4 linked regions of the Elephas maximus indicus genome follow. The protein of the gene in region 3 binds, or shares a complex with, the protein of the main gene of each other region. Links are inferred from orthologs where the notes say so. Each region holds a gene or a part of one and is shown on either strand. Other genes may lie near its edges.

The links.
Region 1: UXT (region 3) and ASDURF share a complex: the UniProt entries of both Homo sapiens proteins name them as parts of the PAQosome complex. The link is inferred for Elephas maximus indicus from reciprocal best matches to the Homo sapiens genes UXT and ASDURF.
Region 2: UXT (region 3) and PFDN6 share a complex: the UniProt entries of both Homo sapiens proteins name them as parts of the PAQosome complex. The link is inferred for Elephas maximus indicus from reciprocal best matches to the Homo sapiens genes UXT and PFDN6.
Region 4: UXT (region 3) and PDRG1 share a complex: the UniProt entries of both Homo sapiens proteins name them as parts of the PAQosome complex. The link is inferred for Elephas maximus indicus from reciprocal best matches to the Homo sapiens genes UXT and PDRG1.

Annotation. Positions count from the first base shown.
Region 1 is NC_064824.1:87,826,218-87,834,169, forward strand, and holds the start of ASDURF (ASNSD1 upstream open reading frame protein), read left to right. Parts: upstream 1-4,949; 5' UTR 4,950-5,019; coding exon 5,020-5,115; intron 5,116-6,957; coding exon 6,958-7,011; intron 7,012-7,952.
Region 2 is NC_064819.1:96,082,219-96,088,689, reverse strand, and holds PFDN6 (prefoldin subunit 6), read right to left. Parts: upstream 1,769-6,471; 5' UTR 1,517-1,768; coding exon 1,453-1,516; intron 1,205-1,452; coding exon 1,134-1,204; intron 1,047-1,133; coding exon 922-1,046; intron 675-921; coding exon 545-674; 3' UTR 507-544; downstream 1-506. Other genes in the region: WDR46 (WD repeat-containing protein 46), read left to right, coding at 2,013-2,156, 2,417-2,632, 2,741-2,821, 2,967-3,079, 3,622-3,709, 3,842-3,903, 4,104-4,208, 4,302-4,452 and 2 more. UniProt on the Homo sapiens protein: Binds specifically to cytosolic chaperonin (c-CPN) and transfers target proteins to it. Binds to nascent polypeptide chain and promotes folding in an environment in which there are many competing pathways for nonnative proteins.
Region 3 is NC_064846.1:123,951,520-123,959,300, reverse strand, and holds the start of UXT (protein UXT), read right to left. Parts: upstream 3,007-7,781; 5' UTR 2,952-3,006; intron 2,926-2,951; exon of another isoform or gene 2,879-2,925; intron 2,773-2,878; 5' UTR 2,764-2,772; coding exon 2,666-2,763; intron 1,696-2,665; coding exon 1,614-1,695; intron 1,481-1,613; coding exon 1,413-1,480; intron 1,056-1,412; coding exon 948-1,055; intron 1-947. UniProt on the Homo sapiens protein: Involved in gene transcription regulation. Acts in concert with the corepressor URI1 to regulate androgen receptor AR-mediated transcription. Together with URI1, associates with chromatin to the NKX3-1 promoter region.
Region 4 is NC_064843.1:37,503,995-37,511,736, reverse strand, and holds the start of PDRG1 (p53 and DNA damage-regulated protein 1), read right to left. Parts: upstream 3,012-7,742; 5' UTR 2,930-3,011; coding exon 2,843-2,929; intron 1,004-2,842; coding exon 928-1,003; intron 1-927. UniProt on the Homo sapiens protein: May play a role in chaperone-mediated protein folding.

The sequences.
Region 1 (7,952 bases), on a different chromosome or scaffold from region 3:
AAACAAACATGGCTTTGGTCACCCAGGATTTAATCTCAGCCTTGAATGCCCAACTTCCATTACAAAATCACTGGGAATTATAGACACATATCCATGTGATGTTTTGTTTTGTTTTGCTAAAGAGAAGTCAATGGACATAGCACAGCAATGCTTTTAAAACCAAACAACAGAATCTAAAAGTAAACACAGGTGACCTGAACTAACTTGCTTGCTTATACTGTGACAACACAAATAGTATTTTCCTGCAAGTTGTTTCACAAAGCCAAAAAAAAAAGTTTTTACAACCCCAAGGTAGTCATAAACAGATTTTGATTAACAGTTTTGTAAAACTTTAGCATTGCTAACAATATAAACTGACATAAATACCCCAGCTATGAAGAGTTCTGAATTATGAGGGCATTCTATAAAGAAAAACATTATCTGAATATGTAAATAATTATTACTGATATATCATTTACATATCATTTTCCGTTTACTCAGGTGAATATATTTTCGTGTTTTTAAAGCATCTTACTGCAAATTCGGTATTAGTAAACATTTAATCACTATTTGTAACTTTTCTGATATTAAACATTTCATAACTATTTTATTTAACTGACTCAGTTATGCACTGTGATGCTAACTCACAGAGGTGATTGCGTTTAATTCTGTTTCTTCAATTACATAGACCATAATTTTCGAACATGTCTTTAGTCTTTGGGAAGGTAGGTGGACTGTGGTAATCATATGGAAGAAGTCCTAGAAGAAGCTAGGTAATTTTGTTCAAACATCTTTATAGCTGTAAGACATGTGAGGATACACCAGACGTTGACAACATATAAAGCATCTTTCATTGGTGTCATTCACAAGCCACAGTGACCAGTAAACTGTAAGGTAAAACCACCAATAATAAACTCTTCAAATTCAGCTGGCACGAGAGCAGATCCCAGACTAAGGTGTGGTGTGTGAAGCACCTAGGGTGCAAAATTTAACGAAACATGCAACTTTCAGGATGCTAGTCCTTGCCCTGCACACGTGGTGTTTGCTGCAGAGGCCAGGGGTGCGTGATTTCCACATTCTTACCTCCGGTAGTTTACTGGGTTTGTTTGGGTTACCTCCGGTAGAAAGGATTTGCTCATCTCTAGCCCAGTACCCGAAGACTCAGCAATTCCTCTTGAGAAGCAGACCAGCTTAATCTGCTCTATTACTATCGCTAAAATCCTGCCTCCTCTCCCCAAAGTCTGTGTGATAATACCCAGCAGTCCTCCTCCAGAGTTGTGGTATTACAGTGGTTAAGTGCTTGGCTATTAACCAAAAGATTGGTGGTTCAAACTCCCAGCCACTCTGCAGGAGAAAGACGTAGCAGTGTGCCTCTCTAAAGATTTACAGCCTTGGTAACTGTATGGGGCAGTTGTACTCTGTTCAATAGGGTCGCTAGAAGCCGTGGTTGTGTGTGCTGCTAACCAAAAGATCAGCAGTTTGAATCCACCAGCCACTACTTGGAAACCCTATGGAACAGTTCTACTCGGTCCTATAGGGTCGTTATGAGACAGAACTGACTCGATGGCAAAGGGCTAGTCCTACTCACAGTACTAGAGCCCTGATGGTAAACACCACTCCAGTATCTCAGGCCCTGTTATCTTCTGACACAATTCCTGAGAGAAATCACCTACTTAGATTGCAACATCACCCTTGATTCATCTCATTATTTGGTCCGAGGGCCCACCCCACACAGTTCCCAGTGCTGTCCGCTTGCTGAGGCTGCCCTTTGGCCTGTTAGTCTAGGTTTCTTAAGAGCCTGTGGCTCGGTCTGTTCCCCTTCAAATAGTTCCCAGTTAGTCCTACCCCATCAGAGTTAACAGAACCATCCAATCATTGTAACAACCAAAAGCACTTCCATGTTTTTTCCAAAGCATCAGCTGGGGACAGCACTTCTCCAGTTGAGAATCACAGAGGGAAAAGAGAGGACGTACCTTCAACAAGAAATGGGCCAACTATCTCAGAGTCTTGCTCTTTCCATCCCGTTGGTTCATAAACCTTCTGTCAAAATCATCTGGGGAAACTTCTGATTTACTTATTTAACACACAATTATATAGTGCTTACTCTTAAATTATTATAAACACACTACAAATATTAGCTCATTTAATTCTCATAGCAACCCTATGAGGTAGGCCCCCATTCTACAGATTACATGCAGAAGCTAAGATTGAAATGCAGGCATTTTGCGTGTGAGGTATATGGTAAGGACTGCTCTATGCAGCAGACATCCAGATCCCATCCCCAAAGATCTGAGTCTACAAATCTGGGAAAAACACAGTGAAATTTGTATGTATTTGAACAAAACTTTCAAGTTATTTCATATAGTGAGAAAGGCATCCACCCAGTAGCATCACTAGGGTTGGTGTCACCCTCCATACTAATTACCGCAATATTGTAGCACATGATGAAACCATGTGATTCGAAGCATCATTATAATTAGGTAATAATGACAGTTCTAACTGGAGCACATTAGAAGATTCAAAAAGTAAATTAGCATAGAATATTAGTCTTGTAGATATACTGATACATGAAGCTGAGTCTAAGAAAAAAAGTTTTGTTGTTATAACTACAGGAATATTTTTATAAAAAAATAAATTTCTAGTGAAACACTGCACAAAAATTTTAGAGATGGTTATTTTGGTGTCACTCCCTCTGACAGTGTCTTCTGGTACAGACCACACCCCGCCCCACCTCCTTAGTGATGTCACTGCACCCACCTACTGACTAGTATTTGAGAACCACAGGACTATACCACATGTCATTTAGAAGAGACAAGACAACGACTTATGTGGCTAGAAAGGAATCTCTGTGTTGGAGTACAATGAGAAAGCAAGGAAGAATGGGGGGCGGGGGAGACTATTAATTCAGAAACTTGGAAGCCAGGCTAATACGAATCAGTTAAAATATATTGAGAACATAGCATCAGGGGAGCAGTACAAGTATCATTAAAAAAACCATGAAATTATCCTATTAAGAACGATACATGACAGCAATGGTCTTAAGTGAAAGATGCATGAAAAAAGAACAGCCTACCTAGTTGTGTGATGGGCTACAGATGGGCAGATGTTGACCGATCAGGCATAATAAATGTACAGACCAGTCCTTTCTTAAACAAAAATTAGTAAACCAGTCTAATTTGTCCAAAAACTCACCTTAATTATGTGAACTTGGATTCTTAAAAAGTTTCCGACCTAGCAGCTTTTATATCAAGGACATGTTTTTTAAAAGTCTAGCACAAAGTATTAGAAATTCAGTGTCTTTTTATTATTTATTTTTTGTGAATTTTGGGATTATAAATTTATGTATCACTACAAACCAGTCAGAACTGACTCCTTTAAAAGCCATTATAAGTATTAACATCCTCCAGAAGTAGGAAAACATTTTACATTTACACAATGAGATATAAAGGCTTTTTTAAACTATAGACCCACAGACACATGAAGAGCTTACAGCTTCAGTTGTGTATCCTCAATCCCCAGTGGAAAATAAACACAGAAACACAAAAGCTAATCAACCACCACAGCTGTTCTCCTTCCCACTGAACACAAAACTGTTAATTTGAGCTCACAAGAAGACAACAACAAAATAACCTGTAATGTCTCTTCCAATAGAAAATATACCTCCCATCACCTGACGTATCACTAAATGGTGAAATCATAAAACCAAACTCCCAAAACATTACCGCTACTAGTGTTAAATGACTTATCAGCCAGGCACAAGTAAGAAACACACACACAAGTTTAAATAGGAAGAGTGGGAAAAAAAAAATTAGAGAGTAAAGTTAGGTCTATAACCAATTGGGATTTACTTTAAAAGCTAATAAAGACATGACTGGGCTTAACCCATGAGGTGCACTTCTTCAGTGATACAATTTATTTGGCTCCACAGGTGGTCCCACTTGGGTATCTCCATGGAATCTCAAGTTTCCAATGGTAAAGTGTAATTTTCAAAAGTATAACACCATGACCCTCATGAAAATATAAAATGAACACATGTCAAAGTTTTATTCAATTCATTAATTATATAGAGAATTGGGAAGACATTAAAACCAATTCAAAGAGCATTTGGGATGCTGGGGATGTATTACTAAAATTATGTTAGAATACGATCATAGAATTAGATACAAAACCGATTAATGTCTAACTGAACAATAAATCATAACCTCTGGAGTAACCTGGTCCAACAGATACCTGACAAAACTCCACAAGTTAAAGTCTGCCCCTACAGAATTGTACAATAATACGGTCAATAAAAAGGACAAAACAGCACTGAAAGAACACTCAGTAATCTCTTTTGCCTATTTCCAAATTTTTGATAATTTTTCTCACAGGAGTGAAATATTAGAAATATTGCATGGGACATATATATATAATAAAAATTACTGTTTTATCTGAAAGTCAAATTTAACTGTGCCTCTTTTTTTTTTCCTGTATTTTACCTTGTAACCCTGCTAACGAGTTAACAAAAATTTTACCGAGTTTGTACAGTTCCGCTGTCAACCTTACAGCTCTTACATCTGTGCCTCACGTGCTACCCCCCGTAGATAATAAAAATTTAGCGGTATTCCTATTCTTTATATTTACCACTGGGTGACGCTTACAACCCGCAGTAAACCCACTGGTATGGAGTCAATTCCAACTCATAGCGACTCTCCACGACAGGGGAGAAACGCCGCAGTCTACTAGGGGAGAAAGAGTGAAGAGTCCTCAAAAGCCGCTTCTACAACCCATCCCCCAAGGTAGACTTGAAGAAGCTCTCAGATTTCACAACCAGGCTCTGTTGGCGCGCGCCGGAAAAGGTTCAGCGAAACCGCCGAACTACGCCCAGGCCAGACCCAGACTGCGCAGGCGTTCGGGTTAGTGCGCAGACGCTGTCAGCAGGACTCACGGGAAGCGGAAAGGGAGGGGGTGGAGCCGCTGAGGGCGCGCACGCGCAGAGGTCGGCGGCTGCCTCCAGCTGGGGCGCCTGAGGTGTTCTGTGCTCCTCGCCTCGTGCGTTCCATGGAGATGCCCAGCTCCCGGGCGCATCCGGAGGACAGCGCTGAGCTGGTCCCTTCCGACAACTCGACCCCGCACAAAGAGGAACTTAACAGCAAGGCAAGTGTGGACGCGGGAAGGCTCACGGGCCCCGGATGGGGCGCCACTGGCCCCAAAGATGGTCCGCCGCGGCTCCTTCGCTCCCCGCGTGCTTGGCCATCCTCGGTCCCTGGTACCCGGTGGGTCAGTGTCAGTGCGTGACTCGTCGGGCCTCGGCTTTGCCCAGCTGGTGTGCACTTTTTACTCATGGCACTATGTGCAGCTCTATACACTTTGCAGCTGCCTTCTTTTAAACAGTTGTAGTAAGGGAGACACTGAAAGTTGCTCCAAGGTTAGACTTAGGTAGCAGTGGGACGGAGGTTTTTAAAATTTTTCACTTTACCTTTTAAAACTTTTAGAAAGACCGCCCTCCTCTCCTAGATGTTCTATTGCCCGTATTCTCCATCTCAGAAAACGCCACCACCGTCCGTCCAGTTGGCTATGCAAGTAACAGGCGAGCCATCCTTGACTTCCATCACAACGTCCTGTCACTTCTACCTCCGAAGCCCCTGGACTCTTAACCACCGTCTACCCTGCTATCAACCCAGACCAGCCACTATCGTCTCTCATTGGGACTCTCTCAAATCCTTCCCAACTGGTGTTTCCCCATCCACCATTACTTTTTTCTAATCTATTCACCATTTAGCAGCCAGAGTAATAATCCTAAAACATGTATCTGATTGTCACTCTATTTTTAAAAAAGGGGGGGAGGGGAGGCAATATAAAAATTTCGTGCAATAGACAAAAGCTTTAAAAATATGGGGAGAGAGCAGTTACAGCTTTTCAGATATTAGGTATCCTTTGCTTCTGTCCCAAACTAACAGTGACATCTTGGGCAGGTCTCTTTAATCTCTCTCCATCATATTTTCCTTGTTTGAAGTATGTAAGTGAAATTTATACCTGCTTTCCTAAAATGAATAGGAAAAGTACTGTTCAGACATAACCTATTGTTATTACTACTTTCATCCCAGGGAGGTCATATGAATTCAACCTTGGTATTCAACCTGATCGAGTCAATTACTAGAACCTTGATTATCAGCTAGGGAGACACAAAGGTGCACACACATCGGGGGTAGTTTTTTAAACTACACAGCATGTTCCTGTTACTACCATAGCAAGTCCCTTAAATTAATATATGATATTCTCCAGGTGTGTGAGGTAGAAAAAAAGACCGTGAACAATAATTTTAGAGCCACTAGCGTTTGGGTAGCGAAACTGTCAGGTTGTCAAAATAACTAGTTATTTGCTTAGTTTTCACTTAGCTGAATGCTCCCATGCTAGTATAAAGCAAAGCCTCTTTCAGTAGTGCCAGGACTGTGCTAGTCTTTGAAATACAGAAATGAATAAAGCAACAATGGGAAGTGATAGGTCTTACTGCCACAAGTAGGGCATTTAGCATTACTTGCTTGTTTCAGATGTCTAGCTACACCATTTAGTTCATAAATCATAAAAACCACTAATAATTGAAAAAAGTAGCCCACCCCTTATCCCATTCAGAATTAAATAAAAAATATAACACAGCTTGTGAGAATTAATTGAAAAACTGTTAATACTTTTGGTGCATACCATATGCTTTTAATAGAAGATATAAACCTTGTTTGGTTACCGTACCACTTGGTGTGTATTCTGGCTACCAGCAACCCTTGGCCAGTCTAATCACTGCTTCCCCCTTCAACTTTCCCCCACCTCCATCCCACACAGACTTTGCGAAAAGAATCTGTATATTCACAGACTGCCCATTTTGAAAATCACTACATAATAGTCCCATATTCCATTTCTGATTCTGAAACAATTAAAGGACCATCTTTGAACATACCTTGAGAACTCCTGATTTAAGGATTTTTTTTTCCTTTATTTCTATAGATTAAAGAACAAAAAATTGTTGTAGATGAACTTTCTAACCTGAAGAAAAACAGGGTGAGTTATTAGAGTAATTGGTTATATTTTATTAAAAATTACATATATGGTTTATATAAATCTAACGTTAAAATGTTTAGGATTTCAACATCTTTTTAGTTAACAAATTGCAAAAGTGAAAAAGTTTTTTTTAACGTGTGTGTAATGTTGAAAATGGTTTTCCCCCATCATGTGGTAGGGTCGGAATCAACTTGACGGCAGTGGGTTGGGTGGGTGCTATCCACATTACTTTTGGACCAAATGATACTAAGGGTACTGTAGTTTACTGCTGTAATCAGTAATAGTATTTATTTTATACTTGAATTTGATATTTTCTTTTGTAATAAATTAACTTTAAATATATGGAAAAGAGAGGAAACTTTCTATAAATGAATATGGATAATTGTTGAACAACAAAAAAAAATGATAAAATTGCCACCCCCCAAAAAACAATAATAATAACCTCAATCTTTGAAGTGCTTAACACGATTTTTAAATGTATTCATGAGCAAGCTGCCAAAGTTACCAAAAATTACATTTTAAAATTCAGGAGGAAATTATTTTAGCTCCTTAAAGGATTTAAAATATTATTTTATAACAGGTTAGACATTTCTAATATTGCCTTTTGTGGAATATTAGAAGTTAAGGCGCAATTGAAACGAACTTTCTAGATGACAGATTGGCAGAGCATATCAAAGTCTTAAAACTGTAACAGCTTGACCCAGTAGTATCATTTCTAGGAATTGATGCTTAGAAAAGAATCACGGGTGTGCACAAAGATTTAGTTACAAGGATATTTCATCACAACATTGATTTTATAATAGTGAAAAGTTGGTAACATCACAAATGTCTTAAGATTTGGGAACTGAGCAAATAAAACTAGTATTTTATATCCATACAGTAATACTGTAAAAGAATACTTATTAACATAAGAAAAGGTGTTCACAATGTAGTATTTACTG
Region 2 (6,471 bases), on a different chromosome or scaffold from region 3:
TGGGAATTTACATCAGTTTAAGCTACAAACAAATTCTAAGAAAACAGACTAAAAAGAACTAAAAGAGATGCCATGGCTCTTGGAAGGATGACAAGTATTCATAGCAAGGACGGTAACCACATTTCATGCTGAGGTCTCAGGTTAGAGAACTGTGATTCTTCAATTAAACCGATATTCCTAACACTATGTTGCATTGTAAACGCCCTGCCCATGTTTCCTTGGTTGGTCACGCCAACCAAGATAAGGGAATGTGAAGGGTTGTAAATGCAGGCAAGAAACAAATTTGAGACCTTTCAGGTTTTGGTTTCAAGAAAGAAGGAAAAGATTGCCCTGCCAAGAGAGACTCCAGTTGCAAAAATATGGGCCTCAGACAGTAATGTAAGTGGCATATAAGGTGGAAGGGGCCAGAAGAATATGTAGAGAGAAACTTGACAGAGTAGCTGGTCAGAAAACAGAACCAAGTGTTTTCACATTTTATTAGCTACAGTATAGATCTAGAGCTGCCTCATTCCCTCCTCCCCACCCTCCCCCCACCTCCACAGGGTCAGGCCTTCCCAGGAGCCCCTGCCTTTGCTGCCTGGGCCCGCTGGAACTCCTGCTGCAGCTGAGCAAGGGTCTCCCTCTGTCGCTCTGACTGCCTCTCCAGGTCCCGGAGCTGGGATTCGTATCGCTTACTGAGGAGAGGCAAGGAAGACAAAGAAACAGAAAAGGAAAAATTAGTGAGACTACTGAAAGACTGAAAGCAAGAAAGATAAGTGGCAAAGCTGAGATCTAGGGGAGGGAGGAGATGGAGGGTTAAAAGGGAAGGAGGATGTGGAGGACTGCACAATCAGGGGCCACTGTGCAGAGCTGCTCTACAATGGTTCCTCAGCAACTACTCCAACAGTGTCAGTTGCATTACAGCGTTTGGGACAGACTCACATTTCAGCGGTTATATAGTCCAGCCTCTTCCCCACTGTGGCCCGTGCCTCCCCCAGCTCCTGTTTGACCAGCACAGGACCCAGAAGTTTAAAGACTACGTTGGACCCATCCAGTAGGGCCAGTTCCTGAGTAGAGGAGAGGGACATATACGATCAGAACCATCACCCCACAAATCCCAGTCACTTCCCGCCCCATAAATTCCAGTCCCTCACCTCCTTCACGATATTATTTTCTGTTAGTTGCGCCTCAAGCTTCTGCCGTCCTGACATAGACTTACTCAAGTCTGGGAAGTGGAAGGAAAAACATGATGAGAGACATCAAATGTGCCACCCGACTCTTACAATCCTAGTCAGGAGAATGGAGCTGAAGAAATAGACAAAGATGGGTCGATGGATACGGGGAATATTGAGGAGGGGATGGGGCTTCACACAGGGGCGTGGGTGGGGCAGAAAAATTTTGTCTTGGTTACTGTTTTGGGTTGTGCGTGAGTGAAGAGATTGGGGTGAGGCCACACCGACCCTGCTCCCTTACCCTTCTGTAGCTGTTGATATTTCTCCACTTCTCCCTGTAGCTTCTTCTGGATCAGCTCAGCCATGGCGGGGACAACAACCTGCGAGGAGCGGGAGAGGGGCGCTGGGTCTGACACTCTGGAAGGTACCCGAGCTTCCCTTCCTGGCCTGGCCGGCGGAACAGACAGCACTCTTGAGAAGCAGCCCCTCAGGACACCGCAACCTCTCCCCGTTGCGAATATCGACTCTGTCCCAGCCCCAAGGAATAAGGTGAAACGAGACCTCAACCCCTTCAGTCGAAAGCTCGCCCTATTCACGTTCTCCCTTTAGAATTACTAACCCCGGAAGTAAACAAGGAATGCTGGGAAAAGACGGCGCCGGACGCTGCCTTCTGAGACACGCCGGGAAGTGTGGTTCTGACATGTGTGATGAGAGGCGTTCTGCTAACAAGACTGGACTGAGAAGATTTTAGGCAAGATGGGAAAACTTAGATGGAAAAAACTTCACTGTTACTTGGTGCCGCGATTTGGCGTTCTTTAATCCACAGTGGCATTATTACTAGAGCAAAAACTGCCGTTCGGGATGGAGGTGCGAAGGACTACCCGTATTATTGCCGTCGAGTCGATTCCGACTCATAGCCAAGACAACCCCGCCTCGCAAAGGAGCGCTCACCCTCACTTAAGATGGCGCCAGAGGGCTTCAGACCTGGTATACGGCTCTCATTGGGTGAGGATCAGAGCACTTCCGGGGGTTTCCTAGCCTACTGTGGGACAGCTGAGAGGAGTTTGCACGTGGATCATCATCTGGTGGGCTTGATGGAGACTGCCCCCAAGCCGGGTGGGGATGTCCCACCGAAGAAAAATAGAGTTCAGTCCAAGAGGAAGGTAGAGGTCTCTCTGGGAAGGGAAGGGAATTTTTTAACTGCAGGGTCCGGGGGTGCAAGGGTCGTGGGTAGCGGAGCATCAGGGTCCCTCATCTGCCGGTAGAAACCTCGGCGATACTGGGAGGAAGAAGAGACCTCACCGACCGCTGCTAGAGCCTCCCCAGGACCCTCTCGTAGCAAGAAGAGGAAGCAGGAGCTCCGCCGCCGGAGAACAAAGAACACTCACATCCAAAAGAAGTCTAGGATCTCCAAGAAGCCCCAGGTTCCGAAGAAGTCTCGAGAACGGAGAAATCCGGTGCCCCAGCGGACCTTGTCTGGGGTAAGATTGGGGCCTGATGGGGTGCTGGGGCAAGGCGCATCTTGCTTTGAGGTGAGAGAGTTTGGGTCAGCCCGAGCATGTCTGCTAATCACCTTCTCCCTGCCCCAGGCCCAGGACCCATTCCCAGGCCCTGTCCCAGTCCCTGTGGAGGCGGCCCTGAAGTTCCGTCGCATTGACAAATCCAAAAAGGTGAGGACCGATCGGAAAGTGGGGAGGGATTGGAGGCAGAGGGTGTGTTGGTGAGTTGGATAGATGTTGGGCCAGGTGGTTCTCCTGTCACCTCACATATTCTCTGGTTCTTTCCATGACCCCTTCCTGACCGACGCTATTATAGCTACTGCATTCTAAATCCAAAACTCAAAAGAGACTTGAAGTGGCTGAAGCTGAGGAAGAGGAAACCAGTGTCAGAGCTGCTCGTTCTGAGTTGGTGCTTGCTGAGGAACCTGGGTGAGTGGATCCTAATCTGGGCTTTCCTGGCTCCTCCTTTATGGGGCTCCCTTTTCTTGTTTTTCTTATTGTAGTTTAGATGAAGGTTTACAGAGCAAATTAGTTTATCATTAAACGATACACGTATTTCTTTGTAATGGAGGTTGCCAACCTCACAACGTGTTAATACTCTCCCCCTCTCGACCCTGGGTTCCCTGTTAACCAGCTTTCCCGGCCCCTCCTGACCTCCCATCTCTGGCCCTGAGCTGGCGTGCCTGTTTAGTCTCATTTTGTTTTATGGGCTTGTCTAATCTTTGGCTGAAGGGTGAACGTCAAGAGTGACTTCAGTACTCAGTTAAAAGGGTGTCTGGGAACTAAACTCTCAGGGCTTCTCCAGTCTCTGTCAGACCAGTAAGCCTGGTCTCTTTTTTGTGAGTTAGAGTTTTGTTATACATTTTTCTCTAGCTCTGTTCGGGGTCCTCTATTGTGATCCCTGTTCCTTCTTCTAATTTTTGTTTCACCATATTAGGAAGCTTTACTGCAGTCCTAATCCTCTCTTGCAGATTTTTGGAAGGGGATGATGGGGAGGACACGGCAAAGATATGTCAGGCTGACATCGTGGAGGCTGTGGACATTGCCAGTGCAGCCAAGGTGAGCCTGAGGGTGGTGAGGGGGCCAGTGGATCTATTAGTGATGCAAGGCAGAGAGAAGTGGGAACTAGAAGCAGGAGTTGCTGAAGGGAGCCTATTCTTTCTTGATTGTTTTTACTCCTCCCTTTCCCAGCACTTTGATTTGAATCTACGGCAGTTTGGACCCTACAGGCTGAGTTACTCTCGAACTGGGAGGTAAAGTTGAATTCCAGTAATATGCTTGAGCTGTTGACGAGGGGAGGGGATCGTGATTTGCGTGGACATAGGGGTGAGCATCTACGGTAACATTTCACTTCTCACTTGGTGAGAAGGGGCTGGCATGGAGCAGACTTCAAATTGTCTGAGTCAGCGTGTTCCCCTGCATTGATACCCTGCCTCTCCCTGTTCTCCAACAGACACCTGGCTTTTGGAGGGCGTCGGGGTCATGTGGCTGCCCTTGACTGGGTAACAAAGAAGCTGATGTGTGAGATCAATGTCATGGAATCTGTGCGGGACATCCGGTCAGTGGCCTTCCAGTCAGCAGTCGGTGGGGCCAAGACAGCCTTTCTCTGATGGAATGACAGCCTGTGACCCCTTTCCCACTGAACGTCCAGGTTTCTGCACTCAGAGGCACTGCTTGCTGTCGCTCAGAACCGATGGCTTCACATCTATGACAACCAAGGCATTGAACTCCACTGCATCCGCCGCTGTGACCGCATTACGCGACTCGAGTTCCTGCCCTTCCACTTCCTCCTGACCACAGCGGTAAGTGGTTGTGGAGCACAGGGACCGGGTGGCAGCCCTTGGGAAGGCCGCTCCTCCCCTGGAACCCTAGTGTAGGGAGGCCAGAGGACAATCAGTACTCAGTCATTTTCATTCTCTCAGTCAGAGACAGGGTTCCTGACCTACCTGGATGTGTCGGTAGGGAAGATTGTGACAGCTCTGAATGCTCGGGCTGGACGCCTTGATGTCATGACTCAAAACCCTTATAATGCCGTCATCCATCTCGGACACAGCAACGGTCAGTCCCTGGCTTAGCTGCGACTCTCTGGCCATCCTGACCTGCTTTTCTTCTGTATTTGTATTTCGCGTGGCCCTAAATTGCCATTTTACCTTTTCCTGTCGTTATCTCTTGGTCTTAGGTCCTCATCTTTCCCAGGTGTGACTACCTCAGCATCCCATCTGTAACGTTAGCTCTTCTCTGACTTTCAGGTACTGTGTCTTTATGGAGTCCAGCTGTGAAAGAGCCACTGGCTAAGATTCTGTGTCACCGTGGTGGGGTCCGGGCTGTGACAGTAGATTCTACAGGCACGTAAGTCACTTGTTTGGGGATGAGGTATTGGGCGTAACGGTGGGGCAGGAAGGTATGGAAGTTAATGTGTCCTTAGGAGTACAGACTGCAGCTGGCCTGCCTGGGTTTAGATCGTGTCGTTGCCACTTATTAGCTATGTCACTATGGGCGTATTACTTAGCCCCCGTTTGCTGTAATTCCCTCACCCCCAGAATGGGGAGCTGAGTGTCTAGCTCAGGGGTCAGCAAACTTTTTCTGTCAAGGACCAGATAGTAAATATTTTGGGCTTTGAAGGCCATGTGGCGAAATTGAGGACCTTATTGTAGTTACTTGACAAGCAAGACAGAAAAATCGTCACGGATCTTTTTAGCGATTAAACTGAAAACCCAGTGATCGTCGAGTACAGCGTAGTGTGATACAGGTTGACGACTGAGAAAATCAGATTCCCTGTCTGAGGATAGCATTGTGCTTAATTGAGGTTCAAAGTTAGTGTGCCAGAGCATCAAACTCGATGGCGAATGCTCACCGGACAAGGCCGATCTGCAGAGTTTTTATGTATTCCATCTTGGAAAACATCTTTTTACACAGACGGGTGATGAGATAGGTAGAATATGAGGCATTCCACTTGCTGTCAGCTTATAACTGAGTCACTGCGAATCGTAGGTGTTCCGAGCAGCAGTGTGAAGCAGTGAGAGGGCCACATGTGGCCTCTGTCACAAACACTCAACCATGCCACAGAGTCAACGAATGAGCTTGACTGTGTTTCAATAAAACTTATTTATGAACATTGGAATTTGAACTTCATGTAATTTTCAGGTGTAAAAATAGTATTCTTTTGATTTTTTAACCATTTAAAAACGTAAAAGCCATTCTTTGCCTGTGGGCTGTACAGAAATAGACAGATTTGGCCCATGGGCCTTAGTTTCCCAACCCCTGGTCTAGCTCAGGAAACCCTGGTGGCATAGTGGTTAAGTGCTACGGCTGCTAATCAGATGGTCGGCAGTTCGAATCCACCAGGCACTCCTTGGAAACTCTATGGGGCAGTTCTACTCTGTCGTATAGGGTCACTATGAGTTGGAATCGACTCCATGGCAATGGATTTGGTGGTGGTTTTGGTCCAGCTCATAAAGCTGTTGTAGACATTAAGTGAGTTAAGGCACATAGAGAGCTTAGCATGGGGCCTAGCAAGTTGGAAGTGCTGCTGTCATCATTGTCGTCATTAAAGACGATTGTTCATTTTAAGTCCTGGCTGCGATGTGAGGGGTAGGGGTGGTGTGTCTACTTTGGATTTCTGCTCTTCCTTAGAGAGTATTTGCATTTTTTCCAGCTTTTTATATTGTCCGTCCCCCCCCCCCCCAATACAAGTTTCAGTGTGTTTTCCTCTAATTGAGTTTCTTTTGTCAGGCACCCTCTGGGCACCTGTTGTGTGCTGGGTCTGTGCTGAGATTTTGGGGATAATAAAGATTAATCAGCTCTAGTGTGCTGTTCTTGTT
Region 3 (7,781 bases):
TGATGCCACGCAAAACAAACTCAACTGGAGCCCACACTTTCTCCTCATATCACCTCACCATCCCCACTAACACAGACTACCACTTCATTCTGCTTCCGCATACCATTTTTAATTCACTCAACAAACACTGAGTGCCTATGCACTATTCTAGGCACTTGGGTAGACAAAATTTCTCTCTTTGTAAAACTTATATATTCATAGGAAGAGACAATGCACATTCAAAGAAGTAAATTACACAGTAAATATTAGGAGGTGATAAGTGCTGGGGGGAAAAAAGACTAAGGGAAGGGAATCAGGAGTGCTAGGGGTTACAGTTTTAAAGTTAGGTTAAAGAAAGCCTCGTTGAGGAAGTGGCCTATAAACAAGACATTTGAGTGAGGAGAAAGCCACATGGCTATCTGGGGAAGAGCACTGCAGGCAGAGAGAACAGCCAGTACAATTGCCCTGAGGTGGGATCATTCTTGGGGTGTTTAAAGAAGAGTGTGAAGGTCAGTGTAACAACAGCACAGTGAATGTGCAGGGGAATTAGCAGGAGGTAAAGTCAGAGATAACTTGTTTTACTGTTACTGATTTACAGGCTAACGAGACCTCACAGATCTGGTCATAATTGTACTTATGTATTTCTTTTTTATAACAGTATACTTAATATCTGTCTCATCCCTTAGAATGTAAGCCTTCAAGGAACCATTCTTTCTTGTTCACTGCTGCATCCCCATCACCAAACACAGACCCTGGCATATAGGAGATGCCCAATAAGTGTCTGATGAATGATAAAAAGACTGCTTATTATGTGCTGTGCCTGGGGCTCAGCTTTCCGTTCTCACATTCCTCAGCCCCAGCCCTGAGAAGGAGGGGAGATGGGTCCCTAAGTACCATCCCAGGCAGATATGGGGAGAAGGAAGAAGGGTACTGGTGATTTAGACACGATCCTCATAGAAGGGACTTACTCTGTGAGGAGACAGCTCTTACGATCAATAAACTTGAGAGCTTCTGCCAATGTCAGCTCCAGGAAAAAACCGTATCCAAGGGCCACATAGATTCGTGAAGTATCTGGGCTGAAGAAAGAAGTTAGAGGAAGCAGGGGGAAGTCCTTGCCACCATGTAGTATACCGTATAACTTATTCAAGATGTTTTTTGATTCCCCTCCCCCAAAGAAGTTAGAGGAAGCAGGGGGAAGTCCTTACCACCATGTAGTATACCGTATAACTTATTCAAGATGTTTTTTGATTCCCCTCCCCCATCTTCCCCAAATAGAGGCTCTAGGAGAGCAGGGATTTTGTTCTATGTTATTCACTGTCACATCCCTAGCACCTAGCTGTGTCTGGTTAGAGCAGATGCCTTCAAAATATTTGTTGAATGAAGGAAGGGGGATGCTGAATCCTGTGGGCTCAGAGGGGCAGGTAGACACTCACACCACTGTGTCAACGAAGAAGTTACAGCCCAAATCCACCTGCATATATAACTCCGAGTGGTTAGTTTCCTGTGGGGCCAGGGAGAAAGAGGAAGGGGTCAGTACTCACATTTTAAGTCAAGAGACAGGTTTTGGTCTGGGGTTTCTCCTCTTGTCTTCCTCCCTTGCCCACAAAAAAGGTATCCAACCTTGGCATCTTTACCTGGAGTCGCTCAATGACATTTCTTAGTTGAAGATATGTGGCCAGCTGCTCATATACTTTGTCGCGATGGTCCAGCACCTTTCTGATGGAGTGAGAGTCCAGTGGTGACCAACAGGTGACCCTGTCCCTCTTGGGATACCTCATATCTTGCCTCTGTGAGACCCTTATAGCCCCATGCCCTGAACAAGCCTTTTAGTGCAGAAGATAAGATTTTGGACTCTGCAGTCAGACGACTTGGGTCTGAATCCAGGCTCTCTCCTTTACTAGCTATGTCAACTTGGCAAGTAAGGAGCCTCTCTGGGACTCAGTTTCCCCATCTATAAAGGATAATGACAGTATTACCTCATGCAGTCGTTAGAATTAAATGTTATATAAACTGCTTAGAATAATATCTGCCGAATAGTAAGCTCTATATATGTGTTAGGTATTATTTATACTATTATTAATATTATTATAAATGACTGTCAATGCCTCTGACCAATCAGAATCTCTCATTCTCACCCTAGAAAAATCCTCCATCCCTTTTAGGATGCTCAAAGTCCTAGTTGTAAACACCGAACTTCCCACTTATATTAACAGTGACAGTAATTCTTCATATTCATTGAGCCTTTAGTATGTTTCAGACATCCACGCTAAATTCTTTAGAAGTATTTGAACACATTGAAAACACAAAACCACCAGATTTGAGGGCTCTGTCAACTTCTCCATTTCACAGATGAGAAAAATGAAGCAGAGAAAAGGCGACGAAGTACATGTTCACACAGATGACAAGTGGCCGAGCCGGGATTTGAACCTAAGAACTCCGGCCTCAGAAACCTAGCTTTTAACCATTAAGGGATGTCGAAGTCAAGCACGCGCAGACACGCCCTGCGCGCTGAACGCCCCGTCCCAGTCAAATTGCACCCCGGATGTCGCCCCTCCTTCCCGCTTGAAAGGGGCGCTGGGCCGGGCCAGAACGCCCCACCTGCCAATCAGAAAGCTCTGTGCTGACACTAAACGTTCCGCCCACCACGTGGAAGGTTACAACCCCCCGCCCCCCCACGCCCGCTCACTGCAGGTCCCGCTGAAGCACGTCACTGATGAAGGCCTCATAGCGCAGCACTTTCTCACTCGTGGCCTCTAGCGCCCGCCGTTTAGGGGGCGTCGCCATGATGAGCTCCTGAGGAGTGGGGAGAGGGAAGGCCGTTTTGACCACTCCAGTTTGGCCTCTTGCGCAGTAAATCTTCACCTTCCCAACGTTGGGAATGGGCTCGTCTGATTCATACCGGGAGTTGCGCCTTCCGCGCCTCCCAACTCTGGGATCCCTGCCACAGAGAGACACTCAAACGCGCCCCTTACCTCAGAGCCGCCGGGAACCAGAACGGAGAGTTGGTATAAACTGCGGCTTCCGGGTGGCGCGGTTAAATGACGTAGTGGCAAGCAGGCGGCCAATCAAATAGCCAGGTGGGGAGGCGCGGTCCTGGCGGAAAAAGATCGGTCAAAGGCGTGAAGAGAAGGGTTGGGCTTTACGGACTCTGAGGAGACCTGGAAGACCGTAGAGCGTGGAAGCAGGGACTGTATGGCAATAAACCGATGGGGCTGCGAAAGCTGCGTGAAGCCTATGCACGCGTGGCTGGTGGGGATGGAGCCTAATGGGATTTGGTGGGTCCTGGATGCAGGATGTAGGACTAATAGGGTCGCTTTAAGTCAGAATTGACTCCACGGCAAAAGGTTTTTTAAAGGGTTTAAGGGGATACAGGAAGCATAGGCAGAGTTAGAGAAGTGGAGTGAAGCATTTGGTGTTTAAAAGGGCCACAGAAGCAGATGGGCAAGAATTAATTTTGGTTCTGGCTGCCTGTGACCCCGTATACTCCCCAGCATGTTTTTTTCCTAATTCAAAATGGGCAACTGAGAGCTCGACATAACTAACGCCATGATGAACCTGTAAGTTTTTCTCCTTCCTCTGCCTGTCCTCTCCTTCACATACCTCTGCTAATGGCTTTGTTTTGACCAAATGTTAATAACTTTGTTTTAAACTGAGGCAAATAACATTTTGTAATGTCCGACAACCTGTGGCATACAACCCCCACAGGAAAATTGGAGCCCAGGTATATATCTGTATCTTTAGCCTAATGAAGAGATGTCTGGCAGGTATCTTTTGTCACTATCCTGTAATGAATGACCCCTCTTGAGCATACCTCCAGCTAAGTAACCACAAAAACATTTCTAACCCTTCTAAAATTCTATGTTGTTGTTGTTAGGTGCCATCGAGTAGGTTCTGACTTATAGCGACCCTATGCACAACAGAACAAAACACTGCCCAGTCCTGAGCCATCCTCAACAATCGTTGTTATGCTTGAGCTCATTGTTGCAGCCACTGTGTCAGTCCACCTCGTTGAGGGCCTTCCTCTTTTCCGCTGACCCTGTACTCTGCCAAGCATGATGTCCTTCTCCAGGGACTGATCCCTCCTGACAACATGCCCAAAATATGTAAGATGCAGTCTCGCCATCCTTGCTTGTAAGGAACATTCTGGTTGTACTTCTTCCAAGACAGATTTGTTCATTTTTTTGGCAGTCCATGGTATATTCAATATTCTTTGCCAGCACCACAATTTAAAAGCGTCAGCTCTTCTTCGGTCTTCCTTATTCATTGACCAGCTTTCACATGCATATGATGCGATCAAAAATACCATGGCTTGGGTCAGGCTCACCTTAGTCTTCAGGGTGACATGTTTACTCTTCAACACTTTAAAGAGGTCCTTTGCAGTAGATTTACCCAATGCAATGCATCTTTTGATTTCTTGACTGCTGCTTCCATGGCTGTTGATTGTGGATCCAAGTAAAATGAAATCCTTGACAACTTCAGTCTTTTCTCCGTTTATCATGATGTTGCTCATTGGTCCAGTCGTGAGGATTTTTGTTTTCTTTATGTTGAAGTGCAATCCATACTGAAGGCTGTGGTCTTTGATCTTCATTAGTAAGTGCTTCAAGTCCTTTTCACTTTCAGCAAGCAAGGTTGTGTCATCTGCATAATGCAGGTTTTTAATGAGTCTTCCTCCAATCCTGATGCCCTGTTCTTCTTGATATAGTCCAGCTTCTCGTATTATTTGTTCAGCATACAGATTGAATAGGTATGGTGAAAGAATACAACCCTGACGCACACCTTTCCTGACTTTAAACCAATCAGTATCCCCTTGTTCTGTCCGAAAAACTGCCCCTTGATCTATGTAAAGGTTCCTCATGAGCACAATTAAGTGTTCTGGAATTCCCATTCTTTGCAATGTTATCCATAATTTGTTGTGATCCACACAGTCGAATGCTTTTGCATAGTCAATAAAACACAGGTAAACATCCTTCTGATAGTCTCTGCTTTCAGCCAGGATCTGAGATCAGCAGTAATATCCCTGGTTCCACGTCCTCTCCTGAAACCGGCCTGAATTTCTGGCAGTTCCCTGTGGATATACTGCTGGAGCCAGTTTTGAATGAACTTCAACAAAATTTTGCTTGTGTGTGATATTAATGATATTGTTCTATAATTTCCACATTCGGTTGGATCACCTTTCTTGGGAATAGTCATAAATATGGATCTCTTCCAGTCAGTTGGCCAGGAAACTGTCTTCCATATTTCTTGGCATAGACGAGTGAGCACCTCCAGCGCTGCATCTGTTTGTTGAAACATCTCAGTTGATATTCCATGAATTCCTGGAGCCTTGTTTTTCGCCAATGCCTTCAGAGCAGCTTGGACTTCTTCCTTCAGTACCATCAGTTCCTGATCATATGTCAACTCTTGAAATGGTTGAGCATCAACTAATTCTTTTTGGTATAATGACTCTGTGTATTCTTTCCATCTTCTTTTGATGCTTCCTGCATTGTTTAATATTGTCCCCGTAGAATCCTTCACTATTGCAACTCGAGGCTTGAATTTTTTTTCAGTTCTTTCAGCTTGAGAAACGCTGATTGTGTTCTTCCCTTTTGGTTTTCCATCTCCAGCTCTTTGCACATGTCATTATAATACTTTGTCTTCTCGAGACACCCTTTGAAATTTTCTGTTTAGTTCTTTTACTCCATCAATTCTTCCTTTTGCTTTAGCTGCTCGACGTTTGAGAGCAAGTTTCAGAGTCTCCTCTGACATCCACCTTGGTCTTTCCTTTCTTTCCTGCCTTTTCAATGGCCTCTTGCTTTCTTCATGTATGATGTCCTTCCACAACTTAGCTGGTCTTCGGTCACTAGTGTTCAATGTGTCAAATCTGTTCTTCAGATGGTCTCTAAGTTCAGGTGGGATGTACTCAAGGTCATATTTTGGCTCTCGTGGACTTGCTCTGATTTTCTTCAGTTTCGGCTTGAACTTGCATATGAGCAATTGATGGTCTGTCCCACAGTCGGCCCTTGGCCTTGTTCTGACTGATGATATCAAGCTTTTCCATCGTCTCTTTCCACAGATGTAGTCAATTTGATTTATGTGTGTTCCATCTGGCGAAGTCCATGTGTATAGTTGCCGTTTATGTTGGTGAAAGAAGGTATTTGCAATGAAGAAGTCGTTGGTCTTGCAAAATTCTATCATACGATCTCCGGCATTGTTTCTATCACCAAGGCCATATTTTCCAACTACTGATTCTTCTTCTTTGTTTCCAACTTTCGCATTCCAATTGCCAGTAATTATCAATGCATCTTGATTGCATGTTCGATCAATTTCAGACTGCAGCAGCTGATAAAAATCTATTTCTTCATCTTTGGCCCTAGTAATTGGTGCATGAATTTGAATAATAGTCGTATTAACTGGTTTCCTTGTAGGTGTATGGATATTTTCCTATCACTGACAGCGTTGTACTTCAGGTAACTACGAAGACATTTCTAACCCTTGTAAAATTCTATAGAAGCTCTAATGTAAAATTGCTCTTTGGAACTCCATAGAGATAGCCTGTGTTGCTGCCAGTCCCCGGTGATGTATGCATCTCCTGAGAAAACTTTGTCTTTTGTGACTTGGTGTGTTTTATTGGCTGGACTGCTCCAGGGCACGGACCCTAATCGGGTAACATGTCGAAAAGAGGGTCTATCCTGTTTGATCTGTCTACCTAGATTCTGATTTTTCACCTGCGAAATTTGAGTTTAACTCCCGGTGATGGGAATGAGTGTGAACACTGAAAGATTTTTAAACAGAGACAAATCTAAAATTCATCTTTTATGACTCCAGCTCTGCGATCTGCAATCTATAACTGTGGGGTTAAAGCGGAGATTGACAAAGCGTTGTATCTAATCACTTCATTTAATACCCTTTGCCGTCAAGTCGATTCTGACTCATAGCGACCTTATAGGACAGAGTAGAACTGCCCCATAGAGTTTCCAAGGAGCGCCTGGTGGATTCAAACTCCCGACCTGTTGGTTAGCAGCCATAGCACGTAACCACTACACCACCGGGGTTTCCTCATTTAATAGGGGGATAAAATGGAGGGTCGCTGGAGTCCTCTGTCCAAGATTTGCTATCTTGTGGTTAGAAATAATTTCCCGTGTGTTTTATTTAAATATGTAAGCTTTTTATTAATGTATTTTTCATGCTTTCAAGTGAGGGACTGAACTTATTTCCCTTGTAAGATTTTTAAACAGAGGCATCTAACCCAGCCAAGTCCAGGCCGGAATCCCCCAAACGCCATTCTCGTATGCAGGGGCTTGAGCTCCAACCCCTATCGGAAAGACTTTCCAGAAAATCTGTATGTTGTGTATGTAAAAGCAAGGTTCATTTTTCAAATGCCGAAAACCTGACCAAATCTAGTTTTTCTTTGCTCATTGAACAAGGGTGTTGTATAGGAAATATTGAGATTAAAAAAACTTTCGTAACTCTCATAATTACGTTTCATGTGATTGAAACACACTAGGTAGTTAGACAAATATTACACCACCGTCTTAAGAAAGGAGCCCTGGTGGTGGTGTGGTTAACAGCTTGGCTGCTAACCAAAAGGTCAGTAGTTCGAATCCACCAGCTGCTCCTTGGAAACCATATGGTGTAGCTCTCCTCTGTCCTAGAGGATCGCTATGGGTTGTATTGACTCATTGGCAATGAGTTTGGTTTCGGTCTTATGAAAAGAAGGTGTTAAATTTACTATATACAACAGGGAGAACACTATCAGTGTTCTGATGGGCTGGAGGTGGGTCTGTGCAAGTTTAACTTAAATTTCACACACACAAAATTTATTT
Region 4 (7,742 bases), on a different chromosome or scaffold from region 3:
GAACAGGAACAGCAAACATCAGTAGTGTGCTTGGGGTGTTAGGAAGAGTGAGGAGACCAATTTGGCTGGAGTCAATGAATTCAGAAGAGAGCAGAAATGGTGTTAGAGAGTTCGTGGGGGGCTGGACTATGGGGGGGCCTTGCAGAACTTTTTCCTCTGGTGAAATGAGAAGCAACTGGAAGGTTTTATGTTCTCCACTAAACTTTAAACAAAACTCAAACTTCTTTCCCTGGTCCCCACAGCCCTTCATTATGGCCTGGCCTCTGCCTATCTCATGCCCTCCCTTCTTGCTTACTCTGCCACAGCCACTCGGCCCCATCTCAACAGTCCCCACCCCCTCCTCCTGGATATTCTCGACACCTACACCTGCTTCATGTCCAATTCTATCTTTAGCTTTCTCAAAATTCTCAATTATGTATTTCATGCTATTTTATTTATCTGTTAGAGTAGAAGGGCAGAAGCCATGCCATTTTTTATATACACCAGCACCTCTGTCTGTCATCACCAAGTGAGCCAGGAGGTAATGGTGTGTCACTGAGGTAGGTAGCTGAGATCCTGGGCTACAGTCTGTGTCAGGCCCTGTAACAGTTCCCCCTATGCCCACCGAAACCAAAAACCAAACCCGTTGCCATCGAGTCGATTTCGATTCATAGCAACCCTATAGGACAGAGTAGAACTGCCCCATAGAGTTTCCAAGGAGTGCCGCCAAGCAGATTCAAACTGCCGACCTTTTGGTTAGCAGCAGTAGCACTTAACCACTATGCCACCAGGGTCTCCCCCCATCCCTGCAGGCTGTCTGAATTCCCTATGAGGCTGACAGTCATATACCTGTGGCCTCCGGCCTGGTCTCTACCAAGGACAAAGCGAGGGCCGCAGAAGGAAAACCAAACAGGCCTCTAGGGCCACAGTGAGGAAATCTCAACTTACCAGAGAGGCTGAGATCCTTCTGCAGGGCTCTCAGGGCCTCTCGGTTCTGATTCCGTTTGGTGTCCAGGTCCACAATCTGAAAAGCAAAGGGACAGGTGGGAACTCAGCTACCTCCTGCCCCAGCTTGTCACCTTCCAATAAAACAGGGGCTGGGAAAATAGTAAGACATCATTCCTAGGTTTCTTTCAACGGCCTGCTTAAACTGGCCTGTGAATGTGTTTCTTCTCCTACTCACCTTTCAGGTCTTTGAAGACAATGTTTTGTGCAAGGATTGTCCCCCTGAGAAGGTGCTAGAAAATGTTTGCAGGCTAAATGGCTAATTTGTCTTAGCTACTGGAGCATAGGGCATATCAGAATCACCAGGGGAGCATGTTTAAAAGGCAGATTCCCAAACTTCCCCCCTAGACACTGTGACTGAGCAGGCCTAAGAATCTCTAGTTTTGGACAAGCTCCTTCAGCTGATTTTGAGTTAGTATCACAAAAAACTCAAAATACTAGACTGAACAGCAGGGGTAGGGGCAGTGAGAGGGTAGTAACAACCTAATAGCTACTAAGGAAGTGAGGGGGCAATACAGTGTACTGCTTGCGTGCTGGCTCTGGAACCCAAGCACCTGGGCTTGAATACCGCTGTCCCTTACTAGCTGTGTGACTTCACCTCTGTTTCCTCCTCTGAAAAATGGGGAAAAGAACAGTACATACCTCCTAGGTTACTAAGCCACCAACGAAATGAGGTAGCACTGTGCCTGACACACAATAACTTTAACTGCTATTACTATTATCGACCACCATATGTCGGTGCAGTTTTTCACTTAATAGGCCCTTTCCCAAGCCACCCGCTTCTCAGTAAATGCCCCGCCCACCACCCAGTCATTTTAAATGGAGAGGAGACAAAGTCATAAGTCATTTTTTTTTGTGAATATATACACAGTAAAACTCCTTCCCATTCCAGTTTCTAAATATAACGATCAGTGACTTTGCTTACATTTTTCACGTTGTGTCAAAGTTCTTGTTATTTCTGTTCTAGTTGTTTCACTTCCATTTACTATAAGACATTCTTGACTTCTCCCCATCCCTCAGCCCTATATGTAACCATTATCACCTCCTCCTGAGTCAGTCCATCTCCAAAATATATTTCTGACCCATTCACTTCTCTCCATGTCTCTGATCCAAACTCATCGCTAGCCTGAACCATGGCAATGGCCCCTTGTCATCTTCCTGCCTCCACCATTGCCCCTCTATATCTATGCTCCAGACAGCAGCCAGAAAAATTCTTTTAAAACGAAAATCCAATTACTTCACACTCCTCCATGACATCCCTTCAACGACTTGGCATTTAAAAGAGAAGCAGACCCAAATTCCCTATGTGGGTCTACAAGACTCTCCATGGCCAGGCCCCCCTCCTCCCAATCACAAGGCCTCTCAGGCTTCTCTTCTGTAACTCTTCGTCTCTCAGGACCTTGACAGCTGCGGTGCACCCATCAACGAGGGGACCCCGCAAATGAACTTTTAGAAAGGTGATTCCGGGAAACCGCCTGGAATGGGTAATGTAGGAGATCGGGAGGCACGGAGAGAGGGAACGCCTAGCACATAGTTGTCGTTGTTGTTAGGTAGGGTCGAGTAGGTTCCGACTCAGCGACGCCCCGTACAACGGAACCAAACACTGCTCACTAAGTACCCGCAGAATAAATGAGTGACGCGCAAGCGCTGTGCTAAGCGTTTGACCCACGTTATCCCACAACCGCCCTCGAAGTCTGTCGTCTCGGAGCTGCCCAACCATCATCATCAGGCCAGGTCAATACACTGCGCATCTGTGCGGAGCCGCATTCCGGACCCCGCACTTCCCTACCGCCTCGCCGCCAGGCCCCAGCCGCCAGGCCCCAACCGCCAGCCCGGGAGCGGCAGCAGCACCTCCCACCTGCCGCTTGGTCGACAACACCTCCTCGGCGAGCTCCTCCACCTCCACCAGGTACCGCAGGACCCGCTCTGCCTCCGGTGACAGCATGGTCCCCGCCAGCCCCCGCTTGGCCGCTAACCCACCTCCGGCTCCACGCCGGCTGAGCCCGCGCACGCGCAGCTTTGACAGCGCTTCCGGCGCGCAGGCGCAATTGAAAGAACGGCGGTGCGCAGGCGTCTACGCACGGACGTCTGCCGGACTCAGGGGTGGGATCTAGCTTTGGGGGAGTGGCTGGAGCGCCCCCTGGAGGGCCAGAGAGCACATCCGCAGCTCTGCTCTGCTTTTCCAGGTCTGGTATTTCTTTAGCATTTAGTATGTGCCAGGCAGTTTTAAATGCTGAGGATTCAGCAGTGAACAAAGCAAAGTCCCTACCCTCGTGGAACTTTGTCCTAGTGAGAAACATCAACAATTAATGACAAAACAAATAATTATATACTAGAGGAAATCCTGGTGGTGTAGTGGTTAAGAGTTATGGCTGCTAACCAAAACGTCAGCTGTTCAAATACACCAGTCGCTGCTTGGAAAACCTATGGGGCAGTTCTACTCTGTCCTACAGGGTCGCTATGAGTCGGAATCGACTCGAGGGCAACTTGTTTGTTTTTTATGGTAGGTAGGGAGTCCCTGGGTGGTGCAAACGGTTAGCATGCTCAGCTGCAAACTGAAAGGTTGGAGGTTGGAGTCCACCCAGAGGCGGGTGCTTTGGAGGAAGGGCTTGGCTATCTGTTTCCAAAAAATCAGCCATCGAAAACCCTATGGATCACAGTTCTATTCTGACGCACATGGAGTAGCCACGAGTCTTAGTTGACTCCATGGGAACTGTTTGTTGTTGTTGTTTTGTTTTTTACTGGCTTATGGCAAGTAGTGAAAAGGGCTTTGGACACATGGAAACCATTCTTCGCCTGTTTGAGGAACTTCAAGGAGGCCTGTGTGGTGGTGTGCTTATATTTAACCTCTGGCACCTTCAGTTTCCAGTGTATAAAATGAGAATGAATAAACGACGTCCATAGGACAGGAAGGAGAAAGAAATCGGTTTTAATTCAGTTTGCCCAGTGTTCATTGAGCCCCTGCATTGGGCCCAATGCCTGGAGGGGTTGCCCTAACTAAACCCAAGGAACGGTTGGGAAACTATGGGCAGTGAGCAATGAAGTACCAGCTCAGAAAAGAAGTTCTGGGAGTGCTGGAAAAGGACTTGATATATGCCGTAGGATTCGGGAGAACTTCCCAGAGGAGCTGGACAGATGGGAAGTAGCTCCCCGTCAGAACCAGAGGGTTCCTTAGAAATCTTCATGTCCAGCCCCTCATTGTACAGCTGGAAAACTGAGACTCAGAGAGAGGGGAGGACTTGGAAAAATCAACAGCAGACCTGATACTAGATTATGGACCTCCTGCTGCCCCAATTCCAGCTATTTGTTTCCCCTTTTTGACCCCTTGTAACTAAGCCCTTTCACACCCCATAGCAACCTTTGTACAGATGCGGTTATTATTGCCCCATTTTACAGCTGAAGACTGAGGCCAGGAGAAGGGCAGTGGCTTGTCACACAGCAAGTCAGGAGCAAAAGTGGGTCTGAATTGCTCAGTTCTCCATACCAAAACTGCCTCTGGTTGCTGAAAAACACCCTTCCCCAAAGTGTGGTGCCAGCAGCACACCCTCTTTGCCTGGCCTTTGGCTGCCTTCAATGACCAGAGACAGGGCTAATTTTCCCTGCAGCTGCCTGGTGTGGGGAAGGAGAGAGATTCATGAAGGATTCCTCACTGAGGGTGAATTTCTCGCCAAACCCAGGATGTTTTGTGTAAACACCTTCTGGTTCAGAAACACAGACAAAGGCCCTGTGAAGGAAAGAGACACATTTGTCAAAGGAAAAACGGGGTTCACAAGGCATCCCTGGGACCTGGATCTCAGGACTGGGTCTCCCCACCTTGGGGTCCAAGGAGGGTGGAACCAGGCTGACCCCTGACCCCTACCAGATAGGCCTGGAGTGGGAGAGGTTGGGGGAGGCTCCCATGCTGGCTGCTTCTTGGCTGTGACTGGCACTTAGAGGGCACCCCAGGCCCCTAGAAGGGTTGGAGAGGGGTGTAATATCCAAGACTTCCAGATGGTCAGAGCTGGAAGATCACTTATATTTCAGAACCATTTATTACACAAATATTTATTGATTTCCAGAGAGAGAGGATGGCTGCTGGACCAGGGGGGTGGTGAGCAATGGTCAGATCCCCAGGACCTTTGCACACCATCCTCCATCACCCTGGATTAGTTTTCTCCCATATGTTGAACCTACACAACTACTTCTCAGATTGGTGTCACCCCTCCCAAGGGCCAAGGGCCCTCACAGCTTCCTGGGCCCCCTGCCCCAAGTCTGTACTTAACACGCCATCTTTTTCCTCTAGCCATCTCGCTCTCCAGACATGAGCTCTGCAGGGTGGAGCCTTGTCTGTCTTGTTCATGGCTGTATCTCCAGAGCCTACAACAGTCCTGGCCGATGGTAGGTGCTCAGTTAACATTCATGGAATGAATGAGTGAACTCAACATGAGGCAGGACTTTCTAGAATTTGAACAATTCAAGGGTAATCGGTTCCTTATCTCAGGAGGTATGTAAGTCGAGGCTGGGGCCACATGGTCAGGATGTTGCAGAAGGGAGTCAGGCACTGGGTAGGGTGTTTTTCTAACCAGAAAAACCCTACCTGACCACACTGGGGCATGCCCCCATCCCTGGCTACCCCACCAGGCCCAGAGAGGAGCAGCTGCTGGGGCTGTAGTGTTAAGGGACTGGAGCCAACAAAAGCAATGCTCCCCCACCGCTCTTGGGCTTCTTTTTACATTTCTGTACACCCCTTGCCCCCAGATGCATTCAGTGACCAGCACCTACATGTCTCCTTGGGGAGGACTGTCCTCGGGCTAATGGAGCCTATTGGAGGGACTTTGCCCTACCCCCAAACTGTTAACTATCATTTCAGGGGCATGAGAGCCCACCCTCCTTGCAGAAGGGGTGATGTCAGGCAGATGCTGCCCTCCACACAACTCCTGAGGTCCCAACCCTGCTCGGCTTCCCACTCTCCCCTGCCCTACCTCCCTACTCCTTCACTGATCCAAACTCTCCACTCAGGAAAAACCACACTCCTCGAGGAGGTCCACAAGGCCCTACGGGACCTGCCCTGGCCTTCTCACCAACTCTCTGAGGCATCTCCTACCTCCTTGCTGTTCCTCAATGGGCCAGGCACGGCCCCACCTGAGGACATTGGTACCGCCGCTCCCTCTCCCTGAGCTTTCCGCTAGTATCTCTGTGGGCCACTCTCCTACCTCTTTGCTCAAATGTCACCTGCTCAGTGAGGCCCACTCTGACCACCCTGTGTAAAAATGCAGCCCGGCCCCACCCAGCACGTAGGATACCCTCCTCCGCTCTGCTTTTTCTGTTTTCTACAGCCTTTATCACCTTCAGGCTCAGCCACCACCGGCTGTCAGTGGAGGCTTGTGTGTGTGTTGCTATGATGCTGTCTTAGCCCCCTAGTGCTGCTGTAACAGAAATACCACAGGTAGGTAGTTGGCAAGAACAGACATTTATTTGCTCACAGTTTAGGAGGCTGGAAGTCTGAATCCAGGGCACCGGCTCTAGGGGAAGGCTTTCTCTCTCTCTCAGCTCTGGGGAAAGATCTCTCAGTTCCTGTAGACCTGGCATTCCCTGATTTCTTGGTGATGTCCACACAGCATATATCTCCCCCTCCGTTTGTGCTTGCCTCTCTTTGCTTAATATGCTCTTCTTATATCTCAAAAGTGAATAGGTCTAAGATACACTCTTCACTGAGACGGTCTCATTAACCCAACAAAGAAAACTCTGTTCCCAGATGGGATTACACCCACAGGTATAGGAGTTAGGATTCCAACACATATTTTGGGGGGACATAATTGAATCCATAACAGATGCTAAGTAAGCCCCAGTGGAACTTCCAGACTAAATGGACCAGGAAGAAAGGCCTGGAGATCTACTTTCAAAAATCAGCCAATGAAAATCCTGTAGATCACAATGACCCAACCCAAAACTGATCATGGGGATGACCCCAGCAGGGCGGGACTGGACAGGATTTTGTTCCATTGTACACGGGGCTGCCATGAGTCAGGAGGTGACCAGATGGCAGCTAACAACAACAACATACTATACAATTTACTTACTTACTGTGTTTACTGTTAATCTCCCTTTACGAAAGGAAACCCCCCAAAAACAAACCAAGCCCATTGCCATCAAGCCAATTCCAACTCATAGAGACCCTATGAGGGCAAAAATCTTTGTCTCATTTTTTCACTGATGTATCCCAGATGCCTAGAACAGTGCCTGGTCTGTAGTAGGTGCTTACTAAACATTTTTAAATGAATGAATGAGCAAAAGAGCCAGAATTCTAACCAATGCTGTTTATTCCTCAGGCAGGCTCTTGACCCCTATGCTGGAGGTGGAAGTGAGAGTGGCAGGTCATGCCAGGCCTTGTCAGCCAAGATGAAGGGATTGGATTTGGTTTTCCAATCAGTGAGAAGCCACTGGACGGTTCTGAGCAAGCACAGGACGTGATTGGGTTAACCTCACTAAAGGCTCCCCTGGCTGTAACAGCGTTGATAGCTGTTGTCAAGTCAACCCCCAGCTCATGTACAATGGCATCTGACTGTCTGGATCCATAGGGTTTTCACTGGCTGATTTTCAGAAGTAGATTGCCAGGCCTTTCTCCTGAGGTGACTCTGGGTGGATTGAACTGCCAGTCTTTCGGTTTGCAGCTGATCGTATTAATCATTTGCACCACTCAGGGAGTCCCAGGGCTGTGGTTGTAGGATGGACTAAAAGAGGCAAGGGTAGCACAGTGCTCTGGCTGTGTGGGCATGGGG